Oryctolagus cuniculus: one gene and its partner. The protein of the gene in region 2 purifies or fractionates together with the protein of the main gene of each other region. This does not show direct contact. Links are inferred from orthologs where the notes say so. Each region holds a gene or a part of one and is shown on either strand. Other genes may lie near its edges. The genes, in order: NOL3 and CASP8.

Region 1 (3,905 bases), on a different chromosome or scaffold from region 2:
GCGATTCTCTGTGCACAGGGGGCCTCTGGGCCTGGAGAGGGGGGACAGGAGCCCAGAGAGTCTGCTGCCTCCAATGCTGCTCAGGGCCCCTCCTGAAGGTGTGGAGCCTGCAGGACCCCTGGATGTGAGTACCCCTTTGGCTGGGGCACGGGCAGGAGAACCCCCAGGGCCCAGCTGTCTGGGCAGTACGGGGAGGGCACCACTAACCTGGCGTGCTCCCCAGGTGCTGGGCCCCAGCCTCCAAGGCAGAGAATGGACCTTGATGGACTTAGACATGGAGCTGTCCCTGGTAAGATGAGGGAGGGGATGGTAGGGGTCTGGGGTTGTGGACTCTCACCCTTTGGTCCGTGCTTTTTTGTGGGCCAAAGCCATATTGGCAGAGGCCTGCCCGGGGCTGGGGGTCCCCAGCTCTCCCCCTCAGCCACTGGCTCCCTGCCCAGCTACTTCCTGGGGTTCTCTCTTGCAGATGCAGCCGTTGGTTCCAGAGAGGGGTGAGAGTGAGCTGGCAGTAAAGGGATTAAGTTCTCCAGGCCCAGGTAATGTGGTGACTCAGGACCTGAGGGAGGCCATGACTGAGCAAGTTACCATGATGGGGGGGGGGGGGTGTTCTGCAGGGAAGCCCCCCGGCTTGGTCCAGCCACCCCCTCACCATGGCAGGAGAGGAGGAGGTTAGGAATGTTTCATCCTCACTGAGTGGTGGGAAGGGCAACCTTTCCTGGCTGCTGAGCACAAACCCACTCTTCCTAGGGAAGGACCCTACGCTGGGGGCCCCGCTCCTGCTGGATGTCCAGGCGGCCTTGGGAGGCCCAGCTCTCGGCTTGCCTGGGGCTTTAACCATTTACAGCACCCCTGAGAGCAGGGCCTCCTACCTGGGCCCCGGGGCCAGTCCTTCCCCTTGAAACCTGCAAGCAAATGAAGCCGGGCTGGCTGAGGGACCAGTCCACAGCGGCACACCCCCTCTCGGCTTCCTGGCGCCCCCTGGCGGGGGGTGAGTGAACCCCCTCTCCTTGACTCCGCGGCCTCTCTCCAGCACCCTGATGAGCCCTGCACATAAATTGCATTTTTTTCTGTGTTTCTGCTCTCTTTTCTCCGTCGACCAGGGAGGGAGCACAGGTGTCCTGGTGATGGAAGGGGAACTTTGCATTCGTAAAAGCGTCCAGGTGCTAGGGCTTTAATGGAAGAATCTCCAGAGAGTCATGGTACTTGGGAAGCGGGGAGGGGGCCAACCCTCTTACTTAGGCCGGGATCCAGGGCTCACGCGTGGCCCCTGCAACCTCTGGGACGCACCCTGCCCAGCGATGCAGCGCTCTGTGACCACGAGTCGGTCGGTCCCCTTCTCTGAGCCTCGTCTGGGACAAGCAGAGAGGAGGGAGGTCGATGAGAGGAGAGCTGTGAAGCGCACTGACAACTGGCAGGCCCAGCGTGGGCGCTGGCTACGTGGGGTGCGGGCCCAACTGCCTCCTCCCCAGCTCATCTCCCGGGGAGCCCCGCGGGCAAGCGGAGCCCGGCTCCAGGTGCTGGGCAAGGACGCCCCCGCCCCCCGCCATTCCCGGCAGCCCCGGCCGTCCCGCCCCCGTCGCAGCTGTTGCTCCCACCCCCACCCCGCCCGGCCCTTTCTGCACCGTCATCTCCCGCCCCGCCGAGGCCCGACCCGTGAGCGGGGCCGCCCGTAGCGGACCCGACTCGGAGCCCCGCTCCTCCCGGCTGGGGGCGGGAAGGGAAACAGATTGGGCGGAACCAGCCTCACCACCCGCAGCCGCCACGAAGGTGGTCTGTGAGCCCCGCCCCGCCCCGCCGCAGGACTCGGCGGCTCCGGCGCTGGGCGCTGGGCGCTGGGGAGGTAAGGGCAGCTGGGCGGTCGCACATGCGCAAAGGCGCCCGCTGTTTCCCACGACCTCCGGCTGCCTAGCAGAAGAGCCGGAGGGTGCAGCAGGTGGGGATGGGGAGTGGGGGGAGGGCGGGAGCCAGCTTCACGTCTCGCCGCCTGGTGCCTTGGGAAGCATCTGGCCTCTGACCCCTGCCTTAACTTCGGGGTTCACCTTAGAGCTGTGAGCGCTGCTGGCTCTCCGCTCCGCACGCCTTGCACGCACAGGGCTGGTCTCGGGGAAATGAGGTTAACATGAAGCAAGTTAGAGAGGAGGGAGACAGGAGGACTGGGCGACGCAATCTGCGCACCCCTCCGTGTTACCCAGAATAAGTGCCGCTCCGCTCTCCCTCCCGGTGCCCGCCGTTGGCCGACCGTCCGAAAGCCGCGTTTTCGCAGCGCAGGGATGTTAGTTAAGGTCAGGAGTGCGGGTATGCCTTGCTCACTGGGATACCCGGAAGAAGGAACTACCTTGGGACACTCTGGCATTGGAGTGGACAAGGGAATATTTGAGTCTTGGGAGAAGTGGAGGGAGGGGAAGGGCACGCCAGGCTTGGGGAACAGCATCAGCAAAGGCTCAGAGGTGCCCGGGACATAGTGACACCACTCTGCCTGGCCGAATGGTGAAGGGAAATGAGGAAGGACCTGGCCGTCAGGGCTGAGGGAGGTGGCTACAGTAGCCAGAGCAGGTAGCCTGGGTTCTCTGTGGTGGGCAGCTGGCACCAAGCGATCTCACTATTGTGCAGGCTGAAGCGATACATTCTAGTCCTCCACACAGTCTCTCTCTAAGCTGGGACAATAAGCCCTCCCCCAGAGGGTTGTCAGTCACTGTGTTGTGTGGGTGGTGGGATGGAGGGGGCGGGGCATTACAGATGAGCTCCACTGGCAGGAGCTGAGGGAGGCTGAGACACGGGGCAGAATCTGTCACAGATGTGGCAGGCAGGGAGAGGCAGGGGGTAGTTCTGGTGCCTGCTCACTTGGTGGCAAGAGCTGACCCTCACACGTGGGAGTGGGGGCAGGAGGCCGGGAGAGTGTGAGCGCACACCAGGAGAGGCAGGACGAGGGCGAGGACTAAATCCCCTCTCCCAGAGGATGCCCAGCCTCATGGAGCCCGCAGCAGATGAGGGTCACCAAGGGAAGACATGATACCAGGGGCGTTGCTGCATGAGCAGAGCCAAGGCAGAGGGATGGGCTGAGGCAGGGAGCCGGCCGAGGCTGACCTCTTGGCCTCTTAAGTGCCCAGGGCCTTGCTAGCTGAGCCCAGCCACCTGAGGGGATTTGGCAATAAATGCACGAAGCATCCATGCATTAATTTCCACTGAATACCTACTGTTTCGTAGAGACACTGTCACAATGAGGAGTTCCCTTGGAGAAAAAAAAAAAAAAAATGATGGTCTGGCAAGAAGTCACGGGTAGCTTTCCTGGGCTGGGCCTTAGGAACTTAGTATCAAGCAAGAAGAGATGGCTGTGAGTCCTGCCCAGGCCCGAAGGGAGACTGCCGGGTCTCAGATGAAGTCAGATACTGGTGGAGAAGATTCAGGTAGCTCTGCCCAGGTGCCAGGGAGCCAGGAAGGGCCATGCAACCAAGCAGGGATTGCAACAAGGTGGGGGTGGCGGTGAGGGGACAGGGGCAGGGACTGTCCTGGGAAGTTGGACCTCAGGGTCAGGGCAAGGTGACAGCAGCAGGCAGGGCCCTCAGCTCCTTGTTCTGTGGATGCCCAGGGAACCCGAGCAGGTAGTACGGAGGCAGGGAGCCCCGTCCAGGGTTCTGCAGGGTCCCGGTAGGACTAAGGGGCGCCACGGTGAGAGAACCACTCAGGAGACGGATGGGAGGGGCCCTGAGTGTGGTTCGGCTGTGGGGCATCCGGTTTATCTTCCCGTTGAGGCGGGAGCAGCTTTGGGAAAGAAAAAGGCTCAAGCGGATAAGCTGTGACGGCACCTGCAAGCCCGGGGCTCAGGCGGGGAGGGCCCAGAGCTGACGTGAGGGGAAGGAGGAGCCTGGGAAGGAGACTGGACAGCCGCGGTCGGAGACGCAGGAGGA
Region 2 (3,805 bases):
GTGTTCAAATGCATTTTCTTAAAACAGGATGATCTCTTGGTACAGTTTTCATTGTCTCCGTTTTAATTTTTAAAAGATGGGTATAGGGGCTGGCACTGTGGTGTAGCAGGCTAAGCCTCTGCCTGCGGCACCAGCATCCCATATGGGTGCCAGTTCAAGTCCCAGCTGCTCCATTTCTCATCCAGCTCTCTGCTGTGGCCTGGGAAAGCAGTGCAAGATGGCCCAAGTGCTCGGGCACCTGCACCCCCATGGGAGACCCAGACAAAGCTCCTGGCTCCTGGCTTTGGATCGGCACAGCTCCAGCCGTTGCAGCCATCTGGGGAGTGAACCAGCGGACAGAGACCTCTCCCTCTCTCTGCAACCCCACCTCTGGGTACGAGGATACTTCACCTCTGTCTTTCGGGTTCTGTACCTGCATCAACTTCTGTTCCTTTCCTGTCTTTCATGTTGCGGTGTCTGGGCATTTCTCTCCGTGCTATGCTAAAATCGTAGTTGTTGACGATCAAACAGTATCCCCGAGGTTTGCTTTTCATTTGGTAAACTTCTTCTGATGTCTGGAAAACAAAAACCCAACCCAGGGGCTGACTGCGGGTCAAACACAACCATCTAAAGAGACAATGCCCTGGGAAGAGTTGCCCTGGGAAGCGAGTGTGGTCTCCCCTGCCCTCTGCCAGCTGGGGCTCATCTCCCTGCAGACCCAGTTCCCATCCAGAACCCTTCCCACAGTTCTAAAGCCACTAGTCCTGTCCTGGGCCCGGTCAGCTCTTTGCACATCAAAAAGGTTGTGGAATAATAGAATTAAAAGAGAAGTTTGTCTTGGTGCCCAAAATTTTTGGAACCCATGCATAGTCTTTTCATAAAACACATTTCCTCTGAGCTTTAAGAAGATCTTTCACACACACGAGTTTCAGAAATATTGGCACCAAAACAAATTTAGTTTTTAATTCCATCTTCCATATACTTGCTGAAGTACTCTCACACTAACATTGCTGTCACCATGTCGTAGGATCATCAGTTATTCTATCTGCTTCCTTCACTGAACAGAAATGTCCTCAGACAGGTAACATCTGTGCCAGAAGCCAGCATTTATTCATTTAGAACTCCATCAAGAGTGAATGAATGAATGAATGAATGTCTCTGGGCTGCCCTGCCATGACCTTGTGATTATCTGGGCTGGGCTTCTTGGCTAACCCCTGAGAGCCTGACCCTCACACAAGACTCAATGTGACCCCAGGGATTTGAAAGCTATTGGCTTAACCCTTCTCTTGGGACGGCAGCATCAGGGGAGGGTACCACGACCGCAGTGCCTGACAGTACAGGCAGAGCTGGCCCTGGGTCGTGCTCATCTTCCTAGGGCTGGTTCAGCGCTAAGAATCTCAGAACTTAGTTGGAAATCTACACAGCCCCTTAAGGCAGGTAAAGGACTCCAGGCTAGGAATCAAATTCCTGGTTGTTGCCTTTCCTAAATGTAACACTTTGGGCTAAAGTTATCTGATTTCTTAGTATCTTAGTTTGCTAAGACCGTACACGCTTTATGAAGCACCTGCTAAGATCGTCATTTATAATTTACTATTCCAGGTGCTCATTATTTACTCTGCACAGTACATAGATTTTCTAAGACATTAAATTTGAGCATGGTTAGCTGTTCCGAGGGAGTACGCTGGTGGAACCTGAGACCACTCACAGAGTACCCGGTACTTCAGGGACTCCTTCGTGGTCCAGACTGAGAGGACGCTGTGGTAATCTTCTCAGACACGCACACTGGTAAAGACCCCTGTCAAGCTTGACCCTGGCAGCCGTGTGCCTCAGCCTCCCGCCACCCGGAGGAGAGACCCGGTCAGTGAGTGGGAAGGTACTCCGTGAGCTGCGGAAGGTTACACACACAGCAAGTATTGCGCTACTGTGTCGAGAAAACAAAGTTCTCCACTGGCTCCTTGAGACGACAGAGACGGCTGGATGCCCTATGGGCTGCTTGTTCCTAACCACCCAGAGGAACACCTCTGGCAGGTCAAGCAGGAAGCAAAGGTCTGCTCGTTCCAGTGGGGCTGGATGCTCCTCCCAAGTCCTGACCTTGCTGCCCCGTGAGGTGTGGGGCCTCCACCCCCCCACCCTCCAGCCATCCCCAATTCCTTTGTCCTTCGCTTTAACATAAAAAATGAATGCATTGAAAACTGAAGAGGTTGCACTCAAAAAAAATCATGGCACATTTTTAATTTCTCCTGTGGATTTTTTTTTAACCATTCTCAAAATTGTCAGTGTCTGCCCTTTACTGGTTTATCTGGCAGTTGAAAGAAAAATCGACCAACCAGTCAAATAACCCAATCTGCTGTGCAGAGGGAGAAAGGTTCAGAGGTTTCCACGCACCTGTGCCTTGCTCACTGGCTCCCCTGGACAGTCTGACAGTGCCAGCACTCCATATGGCTCCTCCCCTACAAGCAAGCAGAGACACCTACAATGAGACATGGCAGGAAAAGCACTTGGGTAAAGAAGCCTACAGAACCTCCTAGAACAACTGAGGTACTTTTTTTTTTTTTTTTTTTTTTTGAAAGGCAGAGTTAGAGGAAGAGAGAGAGGGAGGGAGAGAAAGATCTTTCATGTACTAGTTCACTCTTCAAATGGCCCTATCGGCCAGGGTTAGGCCAGGTCGAAGCCAGGAGCCAGGAGCTTCCTCCAGGTCTCTCATGTGGGTGCAGGGGCCCCAGCACCTGGGCCATCCCCCACTGCTTTCTCAGGCCATTAGCAGGGAGTTGGATTGGAAGTGGAGCAGCCAGGGCAGGAATCGGTGCCCACGTGGGATGCCTGACTGCAGGGAGTGGTTTAACCCAGAGAGCCACTTCCAGCCCCGAGGTACTTTCTCCAATGAGAACTCACAGACTGCCTGAACAGAAGCTCCGGCTTCCGAAACACAGGCTTCAACCATCATCACCAGAGGGAAAACTGTGACCAGGCAAGCAGCGCCGTACCTCTGTACTCCTCCATGTGGGCAGCTTGAATGCTGTGCATTCGTGAGATATTTATGAACAGAACCATTAGCTCAGCAGGAATGACTGATTCAAAAGCATTTCGCTCCTCAAAGTACTCTGAAAGTCTCAGACTCAAGCACACAGCGGAGAGAGGAAGGACTGGCCATGTGGACATTGTGCAGGCTTAATCTTGGAGAGTGACCCAAAAGCATGGATTGTACACACAGACACACACATGCACACACACACACATGCACACACACACACCATGCACACACCACAAGAAGCCAGGATGTCTTTAAAAAAAAAAAAAAAGGCGGGGAAGGGAGGCAGCATTGTGGCGTAGTAGGTTAAGCCTCTGCATGTGACGCCAGCATCCCCTATGGGCTCCAGTTCAAGTCCCGGCTACACCACTTCTGATCCAGCTCCCTGCCAATGTGCCCAAGAAAACAGCACAAGATGCCAAGTGCTTGGGTTCCTGCACCTACATAGGAAACCTAGAAGCAGCTTCTGGCTTCTGGCCCCTGGCTGCAGCCTGACCCAGCCCTGGCTGTTGCTGGCATTTGGGGAGTGAACCAGCAGATGGAAGATCTCTCTCTCTCTCTCTCTCTCTCTCATTCTCCTCTTTCTGTAATTCTGCCTTTCAAGTAAATTTTTTTAAAAAGCCAGCACAACAAGACAACAAAAATATTAATATTAATGTCTATGGGGTGGTAGTTTTACTGGGTTTTTCAATTTTTTCTGAGTCTAGAATCATCTTCTGTGAGTATATATAGCTTTTTTTTTTTTTTTTTTGACAGGCAGAGTGGACAGTGAGAGAGAGAGACAGAGAGAAAGGTCTT

The links.
Region 1: the proteins of CASP8 (region 2) and NOL3 purify together in Homo sapiens (affinity purification with western blotting; 3 studies listed by BioGRID and IntAct, with this or other methods). This does not show direct contact. The link is inferred for Oryctolagus cuniculus from reciprocal best matches to the Homo sapiens genes CASP8 and NOL3.

Annotation. Positions count from the first base shown.
Region 1 is NC_091449.1:50,464,765-50,468,669, forward strand, and holds the start of NOL3 (nucleolar protein 3), read left to right. Parts: upstream 1-1,556; 5' UTR 1,557-1,840; exon of another isoform or gene 1,841-1,933; intron 1,934-3,788; exon of another isoform or gene 3,789-3,905. Other genes in the region: HSF4 (heat shock factor protein 4), read left to right, coding at 19-124, 224-289, 467-536, 748-899.
Region 2 is NC_091434.1:38,679,935-38,683,739, forward strand, and holds part of CASP8 (caspase-8), read right to left. Parts: intron 2,430-3,805; coding exon 2,365-2,429; intron 555-2,364; coding exon 413-554; intron 1-412. UniProt on the Homo sapiens protein: Thiol protease that plays a key role in programmed cell death by acting as a molecular switch for apoptosis, necroptosis and pyroptosis, and is required to prevent tissue damage during embryonic development and adulthood.